Rhinolophus ferrumequinum: one gene and its partners. The protein of the gene in region 2 interacts with the protein of the main gene of each other region in a biochemical or structural test. Links are inferred from orthologs where the notes say so. Each region holds a gene or a part of one and is shown on either strand. Other genes may lie near its edges.

Region 1 (7,817 bases), on a different chromosome or scaffold from region 2:
CCACCTCCAGAAAAACAGGTTTACCACGCAGTGCCCAGCGAGGCCTGGTGGATGTTTTGTGTTGTCACATCCTAATATTGACACTAGGAAAAGCAGCTGCCCTCCCTGAGCCCGCCCAGTGCCATGGACACCAGGCCTGGCCTCGCTCCTGCCTGGGGCCCAACGAGCCTTATCTGCTTGGGTTCAGTACTTCTCCCAGGGCCCGGCCCCAACCAACCACAGTAGGACAAAGGGACGCGGGGGTGGCTGCACATGTCCACTTTGGACCGCTGCAGGCTTCCTGGTGGCCGCCAACAACAAAACCCGAGCATGCCGCGAACTTCCTTAAAACCTCTTGGAATTGTTCTGGGCAGAGAGAAAAACAGCCGACTCTTGTGGGAGCCACTATGTCCAAGGCAGGGGAAGCAAGAAGCCATTAACTGTCTACAAACTTAATAGCTTCACTACAAACAGGATGCTTTCCAGGGAGAGGATTGAAAATGCCTTTGAGGTCAGCTTCACGACACTGCTGAATGGAACCTTTCCCCAAAACCCTTCCGTTTATTAGAGAGAGACAATCAGAAGTGAAAAAAAATGTGCTAACAGTGCTCTCTGGTTTCTTTGCAGCTCAGCAAACCCAGCTTTTACACCTACTAACCACCTGAAACTAACAACGTTAACATGCTTACAACCTTCTATCCCGCTTCTCTCCCCAGTGTGCCCCGACTCTTGGCTATGACATTTGGGGCTCCTGTTCTCCTGGATGTAACTCACACCAAGTGAGCCCAAACGGGCCATTTCACACTGTCTTTGGTGTCCTCCAGATAATAAAATAACGTCCTAGGACAAAGGAACTGGTGGGAGGAGAGGGAGGGCTGCACCTGCAGATGAGAGAGTCAGGGCAGACTTCTCAGAGGAGGCAGCAACTGAGCTGAGCTAACAAAGAAGGATGATTCGTGTGACATCCACAGGGACCATGTTGAGCGTATCACTCCATTTATTTTAGGCCTCACACCATCCCATGGAAAGTGTCACAGGATCCCTGGTGCTTGGAGAAATACATATCCCTGCTAAGATAGTTCCCACCCAAAAGAAAAAAAAAAATCAACTGGTGGCCAACTTACAAGGTTGATTAAATGTGTTCTCCCTACCCAGGAGGACATTCTGAGGCACTGGCTGAAAGTCCAGAGCTTGAAAGGCAGTCTCCCCAAACATTTCAGACGTTTAAAACCCAAAACAAGCAAAAATAAACTTGTACAACCTAATGTTGGCAAGGCTGGAAAAGCCACAGCTAAATCAATCAGTGACAACCCTGTGACCTTGAGGTTCAAAAAATGGGGAAATCCCCAAATCCTGGAGTGAAAAGAGAGGAGAAGAGTGGAGAAGAGTAAGACAGTGGTGAAGAGCACCACACAACAGCCAGATGCCAACATTGGGACCCAGGCCCAGCCACTGCCTCAGACAGACCAGTTAGGGAAGATGTGCAAAAACAGCACCAATAAGTACAAAAATGTGCCACTCCTAAGGATTTGTTCCTAAGGCATGCCCAAAATAAGTAGAAATAAGTTTAAAGTGTTAACTCCAGTCAAAAACAGCCAATACTTGGGTAGGTGTTCTCTACACCTGCTAGGAAACCTCATGGACCCATTTTACAGAATGAGCAAACTGAGGCTCAGAAGTGGAGTAACCCGTGTAGGACAACACAGGTGAAAAGTGGCTGAATGGAGGAGGGTTTTGGCATGGCTTCCAGAACACAGCTCTGGGCTTTACATGCTAGACAGCATTTAAATTGCTTCCTGGAACTTAAGTCACAGTTTCTCCATCCGTAAAATCAGGTTCCGTCCTGGGAGTGCAGCCAGCATAGAACTCAATCGTCTATCCCCTTCCTAATGGGGGAAGGATAAGACTGAGCACCTCCCTTCCTGGGAAGGTGGAGCGAAGCTGACCAGGAAAACCCTTTCGCGGGCCCAGCCGCAGCAGGTGCTCCAAAGAAAAATGTTACAGCAGCAGCAGCAGCAGCAGCAAAAACAACAACGTCCCACCGCCCGGGGTGGCACATTGTAGCAAAAATTACAGTAACAATTAACGGTTTACAAAGTGATTTGCAGCCAGGAGGCCTAAGCGCGTCACACAAGTCCCAGCCCCGAGCTCCACAGGGGCTCACTCGGGCCGAGTGGGGCAGGCCCTGCCGGTCACCGGATGGAACGCGCCCTGCGGCCCCCCAAGAGCCGAGCGCCGGCCGGCCGGCTCGCTGTTCACGAGACCAGGCCGCAGCGCCCCGGCCGGTCCGTGCGCGGCCACCCGCAGGCGCACCTGTAAAAGGCGCACCTGTGCAGGTCGCGGGCAGGTGGGGTGGCGGCCGCGCCCGGGTCGCGCAAGTTCCTGCTCCGGACTTCCCCCCGCGCCCCGTAGTCAAGCCTGTCTCCAGCCCTTCGCACGTACGCGGCGACTCGGGTCCCGGCGGGGACAGTGCCCGACGCCATCTTCTCTTTTTTAGTGGACACCGGGCTGGGTCGTCGCAGCCCGAGGCTGCCAGTCCCGCGCTCTGGCCCGGTGCACGGCCCGGGAGGGCAAGGGAGCCCGGCCCCAGGAGGCCGCGCAGGAGAAAGGAGCAGGGCAACCGGGCATCCGGCCCTCCGGGCGGGGCGCGGAGAGGCCGCCCATCGCACTGATGCTGAGACTGAGGCCCGCGCGGCCGCGGCTGGAGCCCCCGCCAGAAAGGGGACGTTTCGGAGCCAGGGTTTTGAGACGTCGTCCGCAAGTGACACACCCGACAGCTGCCCTGGACAGAAAAACCTGGTCACGGGTCCCCAACCTTTCAGCCGCTCTGCACCCAGGATGGCAGCCTGGGCGCTTACCTGCCGGGCTCGGGCTGGGCGGAGGGGGCGGGCGGCAGCAGGGTTAAGGTCCCCGCAGGGGAGGCAGGCCTTGTACTCACCTCGCGTCGGGGGTAGCGATGCTGTTGGCGGCGGTGCCGGGAGAACTGCAGCAAGGAGGCGTCCTGTGTGCAGCTGGCAGTCCGCGTGCAACCGTATAAACCGCCAGCCCCGCCCCTGCCCGCCCCCGGGGCCGCCTCTCCAGTCCCAGCGCGCTGAATCCAAGACCCAGGTAGGTACGAGTAGCAACACAACTGCTACAAGTGTGATCTGTTTACTTGTTTACTTCTCTCTGCCGCCTACTACTTGCAAAGTTTGTTTTGCCCTGTGCACTGCTTTCCAAGCTCGGGCTGCACACAAGTAGGCTCCGAGGTATGCAGGTGGTTGAATCCACTGGCCGAATTTGGGTATATAACCCAGGATCTTTACGTGGGTTACCTACCTCCTTTCCTCTTCAAAGCAGCCCTAGGGCTTGGTGCTTTTTTCACGCCTGTTTTACCGATGGGGAAACGGAGACTCAAAGAGGAGAAAATTACTTAGTAAGTAGCAGCGTGAATTCAAGCGCTCCAGGAGTCCTACTCTTTGTGCTGGCAGCCTCAGGAGTGAGGTTTGGTTTCGTGTTTTTTATTTTTTTATTGTGATAAAAATACACATAAGATTTACCATCTTAACCATTTTTAAGTGTACTGTTCAGTGGCATTAAACACATTCATAATGTTTACAACCATCACCATCCTCTCCAGAACTTTCCATCTTGTAAAATAAACCCGATACCCATTAAATAATAACTGCCATTCCCCCTTCCCCGTTCCCCTTCCCTGGGAGTTAGGTATTTTTAAGTCTGTTTTAAGTCTATTTCACAACTGTGAAAACTGAGACTCAAGCTTTGTTAGAAACAGCATCACAGCATCCTACCCAAACCTGGGGTCTTCCCGCCCCACTCCTCCCCCACTGCCTCCTTCCAGCCGCACCAACTCATCGCAGCCCCATTTCCCTGCCTCCAGTAGAGGGGCCGGATGCCCTCCTTGGGGGCTCCTGGGCTCATGGGAAACGCGGGGGTGGGGTGGGCAGTGAGGCCCCCAAAGCTCCCAGAGGAGGAGGTGAAATCAGAAAGTTTCCAGGTGGGGTGGGACCTAGCCCTGGGGCTGGTTAGGGAGGGGTGGGGTAAGGTCTGTGTCGGAGGTGGAGGGAGGCAGGCTGGAATTACAAAGTGACCATTGTCCCAGGAACACAACAACAAGGCTTGTTTACCTCAGTCCTGCAGCCTCTGAGGGCAGGGGAGCAGCAGGGTCAAGAGGGGCTCCCCTCCTCCTAGTTCTGCCATTTGCTACCTGGTGGAGCCCCCCTCACCCCTTCTTCCCACCTGTGAAGTGAAGACAGTGTTACCTACTTTTCCCTTAGTGTTCTCATCTGTGAAATGGGTTGACAGCACTGACCTCCCCCCTACACACACACACAACACTCCCAACCCCCATTCCCCAGCTGGGCTGTAGGGGGCCTCTGGAGGAAATAATCCTAAAATGTTTAGTAAACTATGCAGAATAATTTAAGTTTTAAGGCCCCTCCCTCCAGTTGGGGCGCCTCTGGCCTCTTCTGATGTTATAATCCTTTCTTTAAGGCCTCCCAAATCACATCATCTTGAGCCCCACAAAGCATGGATGTCTTGACCCTGGCTAATAGCTGCAGGGTGCCTTACAGGCAGGAGGGAGACCTCTGCAAAATAGAGGCTGCTCTCCAAATGCGTTCTGCAAATGAAAAAACAGACTTGGAGGGAAAGCAATGACACAGGGTCTCATGAGACAAAAAGACCTGATGTGTGTGAAAATGCCTCCAGAGGGGTCTCAGTACCAGGCACACAGCCGGTGTTCAGTAAACAGCAAAACTGATGGAGGAAGGGGAATAGTTTGGAGAAAGGTGGGGGATGGAAAAGCTCAAGGCAGGGGTGGGTAAGACTATTTGCCTTGCAAGGTCCCAAGATAATATGCTGATCAAATGGACGGGAGGAGGAAAACACCTTTTGAATAAGAATTGGGCCTGTAAAGACCCTGGCTTCTTATCATCCAAAACAGGCCCTGGGTTAGATTGTGCATGATAATAGCAGTAACAATAATGATGGCAGCCCTACCACTTGTTCAGGTCCCCTTATCTCAGGGCTAAGCACTTTCTGTCTCCTCTAATCCTTACAACTGCCCCATGGGGCTGGCCATCTCATGTTACAGACTACAGAGCACCCACAAAGGGTCTGTGCACAGGTAAGAGAGAACTTATGGCCCCATTTTACAGATGAGGAAACTGAGGCTCTGTAAAAGGAATGCCACTTGGCACCTAGCCTGTGGGAAGCAGAGGATGATTCAAGCCCGGGTCTCCCTACACCTCCTGCAGTGCCCTTTCCACCCTCCGTCCTGGGCCTCAGTTTCCCATTCTCCATTGGGATTTGCTGGTGTGTCCCAGGGCTATCGGGCTGGGTGTGGACCCAGCTCTCTAAGAGAAGACCATGACCCAGTGGGGCAGCCCCTTTTTTCCCTGGGGGCCTCCATCCTGCCAGCCAAACCTCTCCTGTTGAGGCCATTACCAGTTTTCTGTGGTTTAGGGACGTGCTGCTCAGCAGGCCCTCTGGCACCAATTTAGGGTTCAGTTTTGTCCTTAATACAACTTTTTTTTTTTGTCATTCATATAACAGGTATTGATTGGCACCTACAAAATATCAGGTAGCGTGATAGATGATGGGAATCTAGAGATGACGCTTTCTAGTCAGAAGCCCACATCCTAGTGGGAGAGACAGTGGAGATGGGACTCTGGGCAGCTTGGCACAGAGCCCGCACTCGAGGGAGAGTAAAGCCAGGTGATGAGTGGAGAGTGGGGCAGGGAAGCTTTCAGCCAGGGTGGTCAGGGGAGCCTCTTGAGGATGTAGACCTTAGTACAAAGACTTGAGAGAGGTGAGGACGCGGGACTTCCAGGATGGAGAACAGTCCCTACCCAAGTCCAGGGCGGGGTTGGGGGATGGGGGAGCAGCAGTGGCTGGCCAAGCATGTTTGCCAAGTGCTGGCCTCAGCATCCAGGGCCCACCTGGGGAAGCCAGGCGCCAGCACAGGTTTTCAATGACCCTGTTTTTCCACTTGCCATCCCAGACTTTTGTCCCCAGCTTTGGGACACCTTATCTGGAAAATCCTCCAGCTTTGAGAGAGGCTTTGTAATATCAGGAGGGACCCATCAAAGGGCTTTGCAGTTCTCTCCACAGTTGGGCCTGAGCTCCCTACCGGGAGCTAGAGCAGCCTAATGGCCATTTCACCTGCAACCCCCCTGGTGGACGCCTCATAGGGGTACCTTCGCAGGACGAAGGCCATCCAGAGCCTAGTGTTGCCTGGGTGATTCCATGCCCCTGCTGGCCCTCTGCAGGGTAGGTCTCCCCATTGCACAGATGAGGAAACTGGGCCTCGGAGAGCGATCCTAGCGGGTCCCAGGCCACACAAACAAGAGATTGAAGGCCTGGGGCTCCAACCCAGGTCTCTCTGGCCCATCTCACTTGGAGGTCTGTAGCTGGGCTTCAGGAAATCTGTGAACCCCCTAAAGTGAAGCGAAATTGTGGTTGGGGTATAAGCCTTTTCCGGGAAGGGAACCTGCAGCCTGGTCGGTGAGAGCCAGGACGCCAGGAGTCACTCAGCCTTGAGTTTTGAATCCTGGCTGCCTTAGTCCCATCCCCTGTGAAATTCCCCACGTCCCAGGGCTGCTGTCAGGATGAAAGTCTATGCAGTCCTCAGCGTGGTGCCTGGCACACAATAGGTGGTCAATAAAACCAGAGGCTGTTATTGAAGGAGCCTGTAGGAACTGGTGAAGAGTTTAACATTTGTACAAAAGAAACTGTATCTGAGAGATGCATCCTCTGTTAAATGAAATAACACACCTTGCAAATCAGTGTGTCCAGTACCATCCCCCATTTTTTAACACATCCACATCTAAAAGTCTGGAAGGGCGTGTAGCACTGCAAAATGGGAATAGTGGTTGGTCATCTCTGAGCGTAAGGATGATAGGTGGCTCCGGTTTCTGCCTCGCGTTTTTCTGTATTTTCCAGACTTTCCGTATAGACGTGTATTAACTTGGTAATCAGGAAAACATCGCTTCCTATTTTTAAAGAAGAGGAAGAAAACTGTTTGGTGTTGTCCCAGGCTAGAGCTGAGCCAAAGACAATGGCAAATGCCTAGCCCCCAGTGAGACAAAATTGGGACACGAGGACATAGTGGGTCTCAGACAGAAAGTGCCTCAGGAGAGGGAAAACTAAGAGCCAGCTCCTATAGAGGCCGCAAACATATCCGGAAAGGCTTCCTGGAAGAGGAAGTACTTGAGGGCACCTTGGAGAACAGGTATAGAAAGGTGGGTTTGGCCCTACTGTCCTGTGGGTACCGGGGAGCCATGGAAGGGCTTTGAGCAGGAAAGGGACTAGATCTTCAGGAATTGGAATCTGGAAGCCCTGTGCTGCAGACTGGAGGGGAAATGATGCCCAGAGTCTCTGAGAGTGCCCAGGGCTCTTGAATGGAGCATCCCAACCTCCGTGCAACTGGCAGAAGTGCCCAGGCTGCCCTCTCCCCCTGCAGCTGGCTAGCAGCACCTCCTTCACTTTGTGGTCTGCACATCCGGCCCATATGACTCCACAGTCAGTGGGGCCCTCTGTGGGCAGAACTGTTGGGAAGCCTTATTACATTCCCATTGTACAGGCAAGGAGACTGAGGTCTGGAGAGGCCAGCTGAGCTGCAGGGTAGAGGGGCATGGATGCTGGGGGATGAGGGGTAAGGACTTCCCTTCTCAGCTATGTGAGCTCCAGCACGGCCTAACACATCGGAGCCTCAGTTTCCCTTACTTTCTGGGAAATGGGGAGGGCAACACCCAACCCAAACGGTTGTTGCAGGCAGTGCCTGACAATCATCATTCCTGTCCGAGGTCATGTAGGAGTTGGGGGTCACTGTGTCC
Region 2 (7,917 bases):
CTGTATCCTTTCAACCATCCTCATTTCTTCTTTGCTCTTAGGCTGATCATTCCTGCTTCTACCAGCAAGGTTGCTGCCTTCTTTTGAGAATAACCTAGTCTAGTTCTTCATTTGCAATATTTCTTCTAAGACATTTAATTGAAATAAAAATATTTTTAAGTCTCAGGGTCCAAATATATTTCTGTCTGCCCGCCATTTATTTATAAGCTCTGTGAGAGCAGGAACTGAAGTCTATTCACTTTTATGTCCTCAAGTCCTAACAGAACTTCAGTAAATGTTGACTGAATGAATCAGTCAATGCCTCTGGCAGTTATTAAGCAGGCCCAGTCAGATGTTTGAAGATAACTGCAGTGGCTGTTTAAGAAACAAAGACTGATTTGGAATAAAGGTTCAATGTCAGTCTGAGCTGCCAGGAGAACAAGGTGCTGGACCAACACAAATTACATCAGGTCCAAAGCTGTGTACCTCAAGGATCTTCTCAAACCAACACCACAGAGCCAAGGAATGGCAGCTCAACAGTAGACAAGGCAACAGAGTTTTTACCAGAAAACTTCACGCCACATAGGCTAACCTTGAACCTTATCTATTTCGTTAATGACATATTTTACCAGAGCAAGGAAGACAGTTTTAAACTGCTTGACTGTAAAACAAAGTAGTGTAACATTATTTTATACCCTAAGATATAAAAAGAATATTCCATGGGTTATACACATACCTATTAAATAAAAAAATAAAATTGAATCACTTTAAAAATCAGTCCTGGCTTGACAGTATTGTTATAGTTAATACTAAAGTTAAAATGCAAACAGGAATGAATTCTACAATAATAAGGTAGTATACGTCTCCCTGTTTATTTCCAACTTAGTCACTATTTACAGTTAAACTCTCCTGCTGTTTTAAATTTAGAGATTCCATTTCTATTCTAAGACTCCCCACTTCAATACTCTGAAAATGTTAACTATTACCATTAACTGTTTTAATCTTACATAAACAAGTAAATAAGAGAGTGGACTCCAGAGGTGGACTGCTGAGGTTCTAATCCCAGCTCCCTAATTATTATCTTATGTGACCTTGGGCAAGAGTCTTAGTCCCTCTCTCCATCAATTTTCTCATCTGTAAAAATAGCCATAATAAGACTCCCTGCTCCTATGATGGCTGCACGGTATGAGTTAATGTTTGTAAAACTATTACAACTATAAGTGCTATATAAGATCAGTGGGAAGTAGAAAAAAAAAATAAACAAAACTTCACATGCTCTTTTCACTAAAGTAGGAAAAAATGAAGAAAAACACCGGCCCTGTGCCCTTCTTGGAACCTCCCACTGGAACTAGAACCCTATAGTCCCAGCTCCAAGAGTGTGGTGTGTTCATTCATTCGATAATTTAAAGGCCTACTACTGTTATGAACTATCAGACACATGCTCTGTCCTCAAACGGCTTAGTCAGGTTAGAGATCAGAATTCGAACCCATTTTTTTACAGATGAGAAAACTGAGGTTACAGAGAAGTTGTGCCTTGCTCAAGATTACACCGCTAACTAGCACCAGAAGTGAGACCAGAAGCTTTGTCTTTCCACGACTTTTAGTTCAGAACTTTTTCCAATGGGCCACCCACCCTTGTGGGCCGCGTCTGTTTTTATTTGGGATTCTGCCTAGTTTTCATGACCTTCCCTTCTTTGCAACGCCCCCCCTCACCAAAACCTGTAAACTAGAGTTTAGACAACAGTGAGCCCTGCAGAGAAAGTCACACACTGAGCGCTTTGAACCTTCCCCTGCAAGAAAAGGAAATGTTACTCTTTACATCCTTCATTAACTCATCCCATGCCAAAAAGGTTGAGGTCGTTAAAAAAAATTTAAAAGGGCAGAGGGTCTCACCCAGGACGGAAAGGGTGGAGTCCCCGCCCCCTAGTGCAGCAACGCAGACAGATGGGAGCCACCTGTCAGAGGGCTGTGGGCGGGGGCCTGGGCCGCGACGGCCGCGAGACCCGAGGATGTGTGCTGCTGAGCGCACGCTCAGAGCAGACAGCTAGCAGGAGACAGGAGGTGATCGTCTAAGACCCTGGAAGCTGACGGCAAGAGGGAAGGAAAGGTAGTCACCAAGGCAAAGCAGAACTACGGGAGGTGGAGGATCCTGGAAGTGAAAGCAAGGAGAGTACGCAACTGCGAGGGGCGGTTGAAGCGGGCCGGCGGCTTCTGCGTGGACGCAGGCGAGTGGGCCATTCGGAGCGAGGTCACAGAGGCGGCGCTGCGGGCGGGCCCTGCCGGGGCGGGGGATGCCATGTCTCGAGAGCGGCCCCCCCGCACCGACATCCCCCGCAACCTGAGTTTCATCGCCGCGCTGACTGAGCGCGCCTACTACCGCAGCCTGCGGCCCAGCCTCGAGGAGGAGCCGGAGGAGGAGCCAGGCGAGGGCGGGACGCGCCTCGGGGCCAGATCGCGCGCTCACATTCCGAGTCGGGGCCGCCGGGCTCGCTCCGCACCCGCCGGAGGCGGCGGTGCCCGGGCGCCTCGCAGCCGCAGCCCCGATACCCGTAAAAGAGTGCGTTTCGCCGACGCGTTGGGGCTGGAGCTGGCCGCCGTGCGCCGCTTCCGCCCTGGAGAGCTGCCCCGGGTGCCCCGCCACGTGCAGATCCAGCTGCAGAGGGACGCCCTCCGCCACTTCGCGCCGTGCCAGCCCCGCGCCCGCGGCCTCCAGGTAGGCGGCAGGTGCACGCACGCCCTCTCCCTGGACCTCCCCATTTCGACCGCGGCGGGCATGGGGGAGTGGATTAATCAAGGAATACCCATATCCACCTCCACCCCCGGGATTGCTCTTGCACGTCCCTTTTGGGGCTCCCATTGGCGAGGGGCTATCGGCCACTCTCGCAGCTTGGCCGCACTCTGAGGGCCCGGACTTCGGGGTCGGCGTCGGATTGGTCCAATTACTCGCTATGACCCCGCCCCTCTCTGCCCTCCCTTCGCCAGGGCTCGGTGCTCCCTCTCCCTCTTTCGTCCCCAGGAGGCGCGCGCCGCCCTGGAGCCGGCCAGCGAGCCCGGCTTCGCCGCCCGCTTGCAGGCGCAGCGTATCTGCCTGGAACGCGCCGAGGCGGGCCCGCTGGGCGTGGCCGGGAGCGCGCGCGTGCTGGACCTGGCCTACGAGAAGCGCGTGAGCGTGCGCTGGAGCGCCGACGGGTGGCGGAGCCAACGCGAGGCGCCCGCGGCCTACGCCGGCCCGGCTCCGCCCCCTCCACGCGCGGACCGCTTCGCCTTTCGCCTGCCCGCGCCGCCCGTTGGGGGCGCCCTGCTTTTCGCCTTGCGCTACCGCGTGACAGGCCACGAGTTCTGGGACAACAACGGCGGCCGTGACTATGCTCTACGTGGGCCCGAGCACCCGGGCAGTATTGGAACCCCGGAGCCTCAGGGCTGGATTCACTTTATCTGAGACGCCTGCGGCCGACGGTGAAAAAACCAAAGGCACCTGGGGGCTAGGGGTGCCCAAAGATTTGGCGGGCTGCTGTCCGAGAGAGTCAAGTGCGGGAGACATCAAAGGGGTTTGGGGAGTGGGTGGAATCAGCGAAGGTCGGGGAGATAGGGGTGGAAAACACCGATTAGATGTGAGTAGACGGAACCCAAGGTACCGGAGAAAGGAGACCCGAAAGGGCGCTAGGAGGATTCGAAAAAAGCGAAAACTAAGGAGTATGGTGACGTTCTCTTCCGTGAGCAGGCACTGGGAGAAAGTTCGGCGGGCCTAGGCAGTGGAAGGTTAGGGCAGCCCTCTGGGGCTGAGCTGGTGTGTTGCGTGAAGTAGCAGCCCCCTCAGTTGAAGTCATTTAGATTGCTGGCTCTTTCCCTTATCTACCTTTGCCATCTCAGGTCCCCCAACCCTGTCCATCCTAGCTTTAACTCAGCTATAGTTGCCTTGCTGAAATCCCAGAAACTGGCCATTGCTCCCCAATCCCTGGCATTATGACAGGATTCCCTTGTCACCCCTGACAGTCCCTGGCTTGGGTATTGGAGAACTGGATGGGGAGTGATGGGAGATAGTAGTCAGAGCTCCCTCCTCCAGCCTCTTTGCAGCCCTGGGGGTGTGTAAATGAAGACAAAACCAACTCCAGACTTGTGCTTGTAGCCAAATAACGCGGCGGCTAATGGGTTGCTACACTCAGGGGCTTCCAGAAAAATGCCAGCCTTATTGTTCTGGGTGCCTTCTAATGACCTCTAAGCACTTTATGGACTGTATTTATCAACGGACTGTGAATCACAAGAATCACTATTCTGATTCTGCTCAAGACTAGGAAGTCACTGACTAGCTGTATAATTTTGGGCAAGTTCCTTCACCTTCCTGGGCCCCCGTTTCCTCCTGGGTAAATTGGATTTGGTTTAGGTGATCTCTTTTGGCCCTTTCTTGCTTTGACATTTTATGATCTGTGAGTAGCAGAGTGTAGATTAGAAGCCACGTTCTCCACCCTACAGTTGGAGTGCTACAGTTCAGAATGCACAGCACCCCGAGTGTTTGGTTGGGGCTGAGGATGGGTCCTCCAGTTTTTGACACAAATGTTCCAAGGCCAGGAAGCCTCCCCAAACCAGCCTGCAGCTTCTGGGTATTAAGGCTTCTTTCAAACCACAGCTCATCCTCTGCCTCTTGCTTTTTGCTCTGGCCCTCACAGACTTCCAGCCTGGATGCTCTGAGACAGCTTTTGGAAGGTCTCTTGGGGGAAATGATGATTGGGAGTCCCAAAGATGAAAGGAAATAATGTTGGGGAACTTGTGAGGATATGGGATTACGTGTATAAGAAATAGAAAGCACTTCAAGAATCAAAACAACTTGAAAATTAAATGGCACCAGAAGATGGCAGTGTGCTCCATATCCTGAGCAAGTGAAATGGGAAAGCTGGACTCTTACCCCTACACATTCATGCCATATGTCTCTCCTGGTTAACCTCTGCTAGTTGTTGGGGTTTTCCCCCCCCCTCTTACCCTATTCCTAAGCTCTGCTTTTCTCTTGTCCCTCTCTTTTCACTTCCATTTTTCTTTTAGCATAATAGAGTACTTACCTTCATTTTCTCTATTTCCAATTGCTTCCTTCTCATTTTTGTTGATCTGTGCTATTCCTTGTCCCTCCAGAAGGGGTGGAGAACCTACTTGCTTTTCTCCAAGACCATGGTAGATCCACCTTCCTCCTTCAGGCTCCTCCTTAACAGTCTTCTAGAAGGGAGAAGAGGGAAAAGAAGCAGTTCCTGATGCAAATGAACAAGGAGCTCCCAGGTAACCAGCTCCCCACCCCTTTATATCTGTTACTGATTTCTCAAAGAAAAATGTCTGGATCCCCTTCTTCCTTATCAGTAAGTGAGAGAGTGCATCAGGTGTACCTGTACAAGCATTCAGAATAGAGTATGGGGTTTGTTACCATGCCCATCCTACCTAAAGCCTTAATCCTTTGAAGAAAGATGCCTGAAAAAGAGGAACTCTGAGTCATTCCTCAAACAAAGGGCCATTTAAACATCATTCTTACCTGGTGAAAACAATTTCATACATCTTATGGATCACCTTCGGGTCAAAGTTCCAGCAGAGTGAAGAATGAAACTGTATTGGAAGCCACCAAGCAATGCACTTAGTTATCAGTGAAGAGCCCAAGGGAGGATGATGGAGAGGGAGACTGGGTCAAGGCTCAGGGTGTAGTAATCTTGCTTAATGTGTGTGCATTACTGTTATGTTGTATTAACAATCATAATAGCTCACATTTACTTACCCACTAAATCTGGTATCTTGCTTGCATTATAATCTTCAAAATAACCCCAGGAGTTGAGTAATATCATCCCTGTTTTAGAGAAGAGGGAACAGCTCAGAAAAACTCAGTAGTTTGTTCAAGATCATATAGCTAGTACAGGCAGAGCTAGGATTGTGAACCCAAAAAATCTCCAGAGCTCCAGTGCATAAACATGATGTTACATATTTTTTCCATTAAAAACCTTGCCATATATCATCTTATTAGGAAAATAACACAGTTTATAATAGTGCTCTGTCTTCCCATCCTCCCAGTCTCCCCAAGTGGCTTGGAGAAGGCAATGCACTGAGGGTCCCAAACTTCATCTGCTCCTTTTGGAGCTTGCTGTCTCCTATGCCAGTGTCCCAGATCTGAAGAATCAGCAAGGGACTAACTCGCCTGCCTGCTAGAGAACTTGGAACCCATTTGAACTATAGCCTTTCCATACAATGGGATTCTCCCCTGGCCTTAGTCAACCCTCCAACCTATTGGTGTGCCACCCCCTTCCCATACCCACCACTAGCCTTGAACAGGCCAATTGCCTAAACTTTCTCCTAGAAAGCTCCCCAACTAGGACTGGATGCTCTGTGCTCTGGCCGTCTCTGAGAGTCCTGGCATTACTGAGTGGAGAAATGCAAGCTGGTTGGAAGCAGGGAACCAAGGATAATCCATTGTTCCCTGAGCTCTTTCTCTGTAAGAAATACTGTGGCTCACTCATGCCCCCCGTTCTCAGCTTTACAGACCCAACACATAAGTCTTCTGGTTCTCATATAGTGCTGCTCCAGGGCCTTGGGGTGAGCTGACAGCCTAATCTGATAAGGTAAACAATAGGAATTTGGGGGAATCTGCAGGGATGTGTTGTGTTAGGCATTGTGGTAGGGACTTGCCTCTAAAGGCTGATGACTCGATGAACAGGAGCAATTTAGGGTATAACGTGAGCTGTGGAGTCGGAAGTGCCATGAGAAACCATGACCGTGGCCGGGCTTGGGTCCTTGAAGCAACACAGCAGGAGCACTGTTGCCCTTCCTCTCATCCAGACCTCAGAGGTCTGATAGCCTTCCTTCATTTCCTTTGTTTCTCGTTATGAATGTAGTTCATCATTTCTCTTCAGCATAACCCTTAACCCCTCAACTTTCCAATCTAACTCCCACATTCCTTGCTACTAACTCCTGTGTTTCTCTGGAGGTCCTCTGGATTCTTGTAATCCACATGTCATAGAATCAGACCTGGGAAGGCTTGTCTTTAGAGATCACTGGATCCTCCACGAGTAAGGACACAGATCCAAAGATGAGAAGTGACTCCCAACAGGGTCAGATGATTTTTCAGTGCAGCTTGAGATGGGGCTAACCTAGGCCTCCTGACCACATCCCATTTCCAGGGTACAAAATAGGGCTTTGCACAGTTAGATCCCCCCATTTTTCATGGCAAAGGATAACATCAGAAATGTTTCATTTTTGCTACTAGTTTCCATTCCCTTCCCCATCTAGGCATAAGGAAAAACAAAAGGGACTGGTAGTTTTTTGTGTGTCCCCAGCCGTGGCACTTCTTTGGTGATATTGCTAAAGAAAAATGAAGTTGCTGAAAACACTGAATAATCCACCCATTGAATAGCAGACCTGGAGAACTCAGGCCCTCCCAGAGCTTCCTCACCCCCTTCATAGTGCAGCCCTGTTCACTGGGCCCCAGACCCGCTAGTACTGTGCCTCACTTCAGCTGCCTTATGTACCTGCTCTCCCTTCTGGATAAAACACCTCATGTTTGAAATAAAGTTGAAATATGAAAAGAATGTATATCATCGGATATTGAAGTATTGTTTGTTTTGGGCTAAGGGTGGCAAAAGACCCAGCGACAAGGTTCTTCCCTCATACCCCCCATTTCTTGGTCATTTCATTTCTTAAAGGTCCTATTCCCTGTTACTGGAGTCCTCTGGATACGCAAACGTTGAGTGGGAAGGAAACATGGAGGAGTTGGGCAGCCCTGGTATAAGACACTCCACAAGATCCCACCACCATTTGGGGTAATGGTAGGGAAAGTTACCAGGGCCCAGCGATTTAGTTCCCTGGCACCCAGCACCAGTTGCTGGTGTAGTTAAAGGGAAGAGCTTGGGTAGAAGCCCCTAGTTTCCCCGTTGGTGGGGGTTCTTCCTTAAGGGGGCCATCTAAGTTACATTATGCTCC
Region 3 (7,618 bases), on a different chromosome or scaffold from region 2:
ACTCAAGCTCCCTACCACTGTCTCCTTTGCCATTCCTGTCTTCATTCGTTCATAGGACAGAAGTGGTCCTTTCCTACCTCCTAGCCTTTCCTTTCCTTGACATCCGTCTCCACCCCTCCCCTCACTCTCATCCCATGGCAAGAACTTAGACCCCGTCACCATCAATAATTCCATCACAAGCTTCCCACAGGCTCACCACCACCTCCTCCCTGTCCGCTCACTCCCTTGGTACCCCAACTCTAATGATGCGAGAACTCCAGGGTTGGCTCCTCTCCTCACCACCCAGCCAGCTTACACCCACACCAACTATTCCCTCCCTTGCACACAGCCTCAAGGCCCTGCCTCTCTCGCTGGGCTGAGATGAACATAGCTCTGGTGAACATCAACCCCCTGCCAGCTCCCACCGGCACCTGAGCGGCCATTGTGGCTGGAGCCATGTACCAGCTTGGTTTACATTCACGGCCATGAAACCCAGCGGCCCCCTTGACATTGCCTGGCACACCCAGCTCCACGCTCCAGGATGACTCCAAACCTGCTCCTCTCTCCCCTCAACCCCCACCCCTTGCCTACCCTCACTTTTGGGTGGCTCCCTGTGCCTCACAGAACACTATATCAGTGACTGACAACTCCCACATGCAGATATCCTGCCTGGACCCTTCCCTTCTAGAAATCGCCAGCTGGATGCTCAAAAGACACCTCTAACTGGACCTGGCCCACACTGGGCTCCTGATCTTACCTGTCCCCATCTCAGTTAAGAGCAACTCCATCCTTCTAGATGCCCCGGCCAGATTCCTCTTGCAGCCATCCTTGACTCCTCTCTTTCCCTGGAACTCTACATCCAATCTGCCAGCAAATCCTGCCAGCTCTACCTTCAAAATAAACCCGGAGTCCAGCTGCTTACCACCTGCACTGTCACCACCCTCGCACAAGCCACTGTCCTCCCTTGGGACTCTTGAGGCAGACTCCCCTGCAGTCCCAGCACTGCTTTTGCCCATTGCATACCAGTCTCAACACAAGCCCTGGTGATTCTCTTGATGCCCAAATCAGATCACTCCACTCTGCTCAAAGCCCTCCCATGTTTTCAAAGGAAGAGCCAAAGCCACTAAGGCCCTGTTCAGCTCCCCCTCCCCCTCCATTAACTCCAGCATCTCCAGCTCCCGCCGCCACCCCTGTCCCCTTGGGCCACAGTGGCCTCAGGACCTTTGCATTAGCCTTTCCCTTGTCAGGATCTCTCCCCACGGATATCTGAGTGGTTCCCGCCTCATCCCCTTCAGCCTGTGGTCAAATGTTGCTTCTCACCAAGGCTGACCCTGGCCACCTCCATTCACATTGCTCCCCTGGCCCCCAGTACATCAGATCCAGAGAAAGTAGACTTTCTCACACTGCTGCCCAGTGTGTGCCATCTTCTAGCACGTTATATCATTTACTCGTTTGTTTCTTTATGGCCCGTCTCTCCCCACCGACTGGAATATAGGCACCATAAGGGCAAGGACTTTTATCTCTTCTGTTCACTGATGTGCCCCTGGCAGCTGGGACAGCTGGGGCACAGATTAAGCACTTGATATAGAGCAGGAACAGCCAGGTGAGGGTGGAAAGCTGTTGTGAGCAGAAAAACAGCAAGTACAAAGATCTGGAAGTTAAAGTCTGGAGTTTAGTCTGACAGAGTGTGTGTGAATGGGCCAAGAGGAGGCCTTACTAAGCCTTCTTGGTCCTAAAAATAGGGAGGAAGTCATTTGGGCTTCAGCAGGCAAGGGACGTGGTTTTTGTTTTCAGAAGATCTCTGAGGTGGTTCCTGTGCCAAGGCCTGTGCTGGGCCCTGGGGAGTGGAGACTACTGAGAAATGGCCACTGTCCTCCAGTGCCCATCCGTCTGTCTGGGCGCTGGGCCCCCTTCTGTGGGTGTGGAAGACAGCCTATGCTTCCTCACCGCCACACAGACTCTTGGTAGGGCTATCTGCCTCTTGAGGTCAGCTGCCCCTGGCAACTGGCAAGGATAGCCCTGGAGTGGGCATGAGAACAGGGTGGATTGAAAACAGACCTGGGGGCTGGCAGCCTCTGGCAGGTACCTCAGAGACTTCAGCCCTGCCTCCTACCAAAGGAACCGCTAAACAAGTGTGACCTTAGGCAAGTCACTTCCCTTTTCTGGCTCATTGCCTGCCTTTCAGTGATTTGTTCTGGTCCTACACTAACAACTACATTCTTTGAGTATTTTGTAAGTGCCAACACTGTAATTAAGTACTTCTTATATGTTCTGCTAATCATCCTAACAGCCCGACAATGGTGGTGACTAATTGCTCTGTTTTACAGAAGAGGAAACTAAGGCGCAGAGAGGTTAGGGACTCACTCAAAGCTACCCAGTGAGTATGGATACAGCTGAGATGCTGAGGAGCTCCCGGGCTGGGGGCAAAAGTGGACAGGCAGGTTGTTGTGGGGCGGTGCCTACCTCCATGGTGGCTGCTGCTGGCTGGCTGTCCCTGTTGGTGACCAGCTTCCCCCAGGAGGCCCGGGGCCGTACACAGGTGCTTGCCTGGGCCTGGGGGCTGGTCTCCTGTGGGGCTGGGGCCCAGGCCCCTATCTGCAGGGCTGGAGTCTTCCTGCTCACTCTGCTCAAACTCTGGGATCTGGAACATGCTCTGGGCTGTGGGGGCAAGATGGCAGGTAGTTAGGGCACAACTGGAACAAACGGTGGCCAGCGGCGGCCGGGGAGCAGGCGTCCCTGGTTCCCTCTCCCACCTTAGAACCCCAGGTCCGCCCTGCCTCCCAGGCCCCCATCTGTACACTGAGTCTGGCTGGGCAGGGAGCTCAGCCTGTCCACCCAGGACTTAAATCTCCTTTCGGAGCCCTGGTGCTGTGGAGCCCCACGACCCGGCCCGACCCGCCGGTGGTGACCGCAAGCCAGTCTCACCCCAAGCCCGATCTCGAGGCCCCGGACCGGGGCCTGCGCCTCCCTCCACAGCACTGGGGGAGCCCTGCCCTAGTTGCCTGGGCAACGGGAACTGTCATCGACCCAGCCCAATCAGCTACTGAAATGTCACTAGGGCTGGCTAGGAGGCGGAGCCACTCTCGGCCTGGGCCCCGCCCCTGCCTGAGGACCTGCTCCCCTCCCAACGCCTTCCTCCTGAGTTCCTTCGCCTCCGGATGCTCTTCTACCGGCTTCCTCGTGCCTGGGGCGTGTGTGGGAGCAGATAAGGGATTCTCTGGGGTCGCCAGAGAATTTGGAACCTGGGGACTAGCTTCTGCTGACAAGTCCTTCAGCCCCTCTGGACCTTAGTTTCCACCCCTGTAAAGTGGAGATAATGACACCTCCCTCGGGAGCCAGTGAACTTTGTAAACCGAGTGATTACAGTTGGTGAAAGCACTCTGCAAAGCCGTAACTGAAGCTCAGCCGTTGGATGCATTGTTGTTGTTGTTGTCACTGCTCCGTCTAGACTGGGTGACTGAATCCCTCCTCCCCACTGTGGAAACCTCGCAGTGCCCGCATCAGGGGCACCACTGCCCGCGCCATCTGAGGAACACTCGAGATGAGAGAGGGAGCCTCCTCTCTGGCAGGATGACTGTCCCGGCTCAGGAGAAGGGATAGGGACCCCTGTGAAGGTGGCCGTAGGACTCGCGGGGGCTTCGCGCCTGGCAGGCGGCCCGCCAGGTGAGCGGGAACTACGGGCTTTGCGGGTTCAGGGCCAGAGGGCGGGGCCCGGGGGCCATCTTGGCTGTGGGCGGAAGTTTCCTTCAGAGACCGGGCGAGGGGAAGTCATTGCGGCCCTCCGCCTGACGGCGCGATCTCGGTTTGGGAATGGGGAAGAAACGCGTAGGAATTGGCGGCCCCGCAAATAAGCAAAGGCCGGTGGGCCCACGGGCAGCCCCGCAAACAAGCAAGGGCCGCTGGCCCCGGGAACGGCCTATCCCGGCGCCGGCCGGATCTACCGCCGCCCCGGCTCCTCGACCGCGCGCCGCCTCTTGTAACCCTTGGCGCCCGCTAGCGGCGTAGCTCGCGCCCATTCTCGAACGACTGCACGCCGGGCGCGGCGCAGGGTTCAGAGCCGGGGGTTGGATCCTGCGCAATTTGCGTAGTGAACGGTATCCGCGCAGGCGCAGGAGGGGGCGGAGCCGGGGAGCCGGAGTCCCGGGTCCCAGCGGCCGGATCCGGCTCCCCCAGGGGCGGTCTAAGGGCTTGGTGTCGACCTCCTCCCGACTCCCGCGGTTGGGGAGTGGACGCAGTGGGGGGTGGGTTGGGGGCAGCGTCCGGAGTCCCGAAGACAGAAGGCAGAGACCCCCCTATCCTATCCGGATTATTGGAGGAGAGAGAGCCCCCCCCAGTTTGAGGAAGGGGAGAGCTGGGTGTTGAACGCCCCCTGCGGCGGCCGCTGTCCTGAGCTACCGGCATCGGCCGGCTCTCCCCCTCCTGCCAGGACTACATGAGTGAGAGGCCAAGGACCTCTGTCCTTCAGCCTCTGCACCCCTCAGCTCCTGGCTCAAGACTGACCCAGGGAGGGGACACTCCCCACCTTCCCCCTCAGCCCTGGAGAAGAGACTGCCTTTCCACTCTGCTGAGTGAGGGGCCCAGGGCCAAGTGCCAGGCTGCCTCTGCCCCACCACAAGGGCGAACACTCGCAACCTCTTGCTGGTGAGAGCCTGGCCCGCCACAACTTCTTTCCTCCTGAGCTCCCCCATTGCTGTCTCTGCACCCTGCAACTCCCACCGCCACCCCCTATTTATTTTTATTTCCTGGCCTCCTGCCAGCCCTTCCATCTCTGTCTCAGGATTCAGGCCGCCCTCCCTGACATGGAGAGTAACCTGTCTGGCCTGGTGCCTGCTGCTGGGCTGGTGCCTGCGCTGCCACCGGCAGTGACCCTGGGGCTGACTGCGGCCTATACGATTCTGTATGCCCTGCTCTTCTTCTCCGTCTATGCCCAGCTCTGGCTGGTACTCCTGTATGGGCACAAGCGACTCAGCTATCAGACGGTGTTTCTGGCACTCTGTCTGCTCTGGGCTGCCTTGCGTACCACCCTCTTTTCCTTCTACTTCCGAGATACCCCTCGAGCCAATCGCCTGGGGCCCCTGCCCTTTTGGCTTCTCTACTGCTGCCCTGTCTGCCTGCAGTTCTTCACACTGACGCTTATGAATCTCTACTTTGCCCAGGTAACTGTGGTAATGAGTGGGGGTGGGCTGTAGGGTGGCAAGCCCCAAGGACCGAAAGGAATGATGGGCATCTCTGCTCCCAGGTGGTGTTCAAGGCCAAGGCGAAGCGTCGGCCAGAGATGAGCCGAGGCTTGTAAGTACTTGGGACACTGGTGGCTCAGTCTCCAGGCCAGGGGCAGGGGACAGCCTGGTGTCCATTCCTTCCCCCGTAGCAGGGCTAAAGCAAGGACAACCCAGGGAATGTTTGTGAAAGAACTTGGAAAAGTGAAGCACCTGTCACAGATGGCTCAGCAGAGACATTGCATATGTGAAGGGCAACAATAATAGAAACTGGGAGGGGAATGGGTACCAGTGTCATCCATAATGGAGGCAGAGCTGGAGGCCCTAGCCTTTGAAAGCTCCAAAGCCAAAGCAATTCTGGGTGACCTGGGATGGCAATACTCCTGTCATTTGTATAATATCTTACAGTTTATTAAGAACTTTCACAAACAGCTTTAATTTTTACAATTTATGTGTGAGGCTATTATTATCCCCATTTGAGAGATGAAGAAACCGAGGCCCATAAAGGTAAAGCAATATGTTCAAGGTCATAGACCTGGCTGGAGGCAGAGCCAGGGCTTAAACTCAGATTTCTGACTCCCATCTGCTGCTCCTTCCACTGTACCACAGGTATCAGTCCCCTTCTTACTTCCTTGGGCCTCAGTTTCCCCATCTATAAAACTGAAGGAGTAGGGTTCAGATTGGATGCCCTGAGATTCTGGTTGGCAGTGGGTCTCCTGGGGGAGGTTGGGTGGTGGGTGAGCATCAAGGGTGGTAGGCTGGCGCTGACTGTGCTGTGGGCTGCAGGCTGGCCGTTCGAGGGGCCTTCGTGGGGGCCTCGCTGCTCTTTCTGCTGGTGAATGTGCTGTGTGCTGTGCTGTCCCGCCAGCGCCGGGCACAGCCCTGGGCCCTCCTGCTGGTTCGAGTCCTAGTGAGTGACTCCCTCTTTGTTATCTGCGCGCTCTCTCTTGCCGCCTGCCTCTGCCTTGTCGCCCGGCGGGCTCCTTCCACCAGCATCTACCTGGAGGCCAAGGTAGGGTCACAAGCCCTGATGCCTGGTGTCCTTTGGGGTCTTTGGACATTGATCTTCAGGGTAGAGGGGAAGCTGGAGCCTCCCCTCCCTGAGGGTCCCCTGTTGTCATCTGTGCCAGGGGACCAGTGTGTGCCAGGCTGCTGCAATGGGTGGTGCCATGGTCCTACTCTATGCCAGTCGAGCCTGCTACAACCTGGCAGCCCTGGCCTTGGCCCCTCGGAGCCGACTGGATGCCTTCGATTATGACTGGTACAACGTCTCTGACCAGGTGGGTGTTGGGCACATCTGCTGCCTCCTTACCGTGTTTCCCCAAAAACAAGCGCTCGCATGATTTTTAAGGATGACATCCCCTGACCATAAGCCCCAATGCGTCTTTTGGAGCAAAAATTAATATAAGACCCAGTCTTATTTTCGGGGAAACACGGTAGTAGCCATGGCTCCTGGCCCCCAGCTGGCCTGGGCCCTGGCCAGGTGCCCCGCCGGCTCAGTTGCAGATTGCCACAAGCCTCTGATTTCCCACAGGCGGACCTGGTGAATGACCTGGGGAACAAAGGCTACCTGGTGTTTGGCCTGATCCTCTTTGTGTGGGAGCTGCTACCCACTACACTGCTGGTGGGCTTCTTCCGGGTGCACCGGCCTCCACAGGACCTGGTGAGGGCCAGCGGAGAGGGGTGGCACTGGGACTCCCTGGGCTGGGGCCTGGAGTTGGTGGGTTATGGGAGGTCAGTGGTGGATAGGAGAGAATATCAATGGCAGTTTCCTTCCCTAGAGCACCAGCCGCATCCTCAATGGGCAGGTCTTTGGCTCCCGTTCCTACTTCTTCGACCGGGCTGGGCACTGCGAGGACGAGGGCTGCTCCTGGGAGCATAGCCGGGGCGAGAGCACCAGGTAGGAGCCCGGACCCCATCTCAGGATCCATGGGCTCCCGGCTTGCTCCATGGAGCCATGGGGACCTAGAGCCAGGTCTTGTCACCCAGCTCCCAGCTCCGGCCGTGGTCTTTGTTTCCATCTGTCCTGGGGGGGCCTCTCTGGTTTCCACCTCTCGCCCTGAGGATGCAGTTTGTCATAGTCTGCAGGGCTAAAGCCCTGGGTCTTGGAGGTCTGGATCACTGGGCTCCGTTCTAAGCCTCTCTCCCCCAACTCTTAGGAATATGGCCCTGGTCACTGCCTTGGGACTGACCCTATTTCTCTGCCTATAGCATGTCTGGTAGCCTAGGCTCCAGCAACTGGTACGGCGCCATCGGGCGGGAGCCAGGCTGGTGCGGGGGCAGCCAGACGCGGACCACTCCTCTGCTCTTCTCCCAGGTGCTGGGACCAAGCAGCCACCACCACAGCCTCTACTCTACCCCACAGACGTGATCTTCCTCCACCTCTCCCCAGAACACCCAGACCCCAGTCCCTCCCACCCCAG

The links.
Region 1: the proteins of BCL2L2 (region 2) and BIK interact in a biophysical measurement, tested with the Homo sapiens proteins (2 studies listed by BioGRID and IntAct, with this or other methods). The link is inferred for Rhinolophus ferrumequinum from reciprocal best matches to the Homo sapiens genes BCL2L2 and BIK.
Region 3: the proteins of BCL2L2 (region 2) and BAD interact in a biophysical measurement, tested with the Homo sapiens proteins (4 studies listed by BioGRID and IntAct, with this or other methods). The link is inferred for Rhinolophus ferrumequinum from reciprocal best matches to the Homo sapiens genes BCL2L2 and BAD.

The regions. Positions count from the first base shown.
Region 1 is NC_046293.1:5,334,068-5,341,884, forward strand, and holds the start of BIK (bcl-2-interacting killer), read right to left. Parts: upstream 3,013-7,817; 5' UTR 2,918-3,012; intron 1-2,917.
Region 2 is NC_046289.1:73,759,162-73,767,078, reverse strand, and holds the start of BCL2L2 (bcl-2-like protein 2), read right to left. Parts: upstream 2,996-7,917; 5' UTR 2,791-2,995; intron 2,693-2,790; coding exon of another isoform or gene 2,276-2,692; exon of another isoform or gene 733-2,275; intron 1-732. Other genes in the region: PPP1R3E (protein phosphatase 1 regulatory subunit 3E), read left to right, coding at 2,276-2,692, 2,996-3,418. UniProt on the Homo sapiens protein: Promotes cell survival. Blocks dexamethasone-induced apoptosis. Mediates survival of postmitotic Sertoli cells by suppressing death-promoting activity of BAX.
Region 3 is NC_046294.1:7,137,533-7,145,150, reverse strand, and holds the start of BAD (bcl2-associated agonist of cell death), read right to left. Parts: upstream 3,013-7,618; 5' UTR 2,905-3,012; exon of another isoform or gene 2,778-2,904; intron 2,638-2,777; 5' UTR 2,630-2,637; coding exon 2,443-2,629; intron 1-2,442. Other genes in the region: integral membrane protein GPR137, read left to right, coding at 4,412-4,620, 4,757-5,135, 5,219-5,268, 5,982-6,207, 6,326-6,475, 6,730-6,858, 6,977-7,095, 7,407-7,566. UniProt on the Homo sapiens protein: Promotes cell death. Successfully competes for the binding to Bcl-X(L), Bcl-2 and Bcl-W, thereby affecting the level of heterodimerization of these proteins with BAX. Can reverse the death repressor activity of Bcl-X(L), but not that of Bcl-2.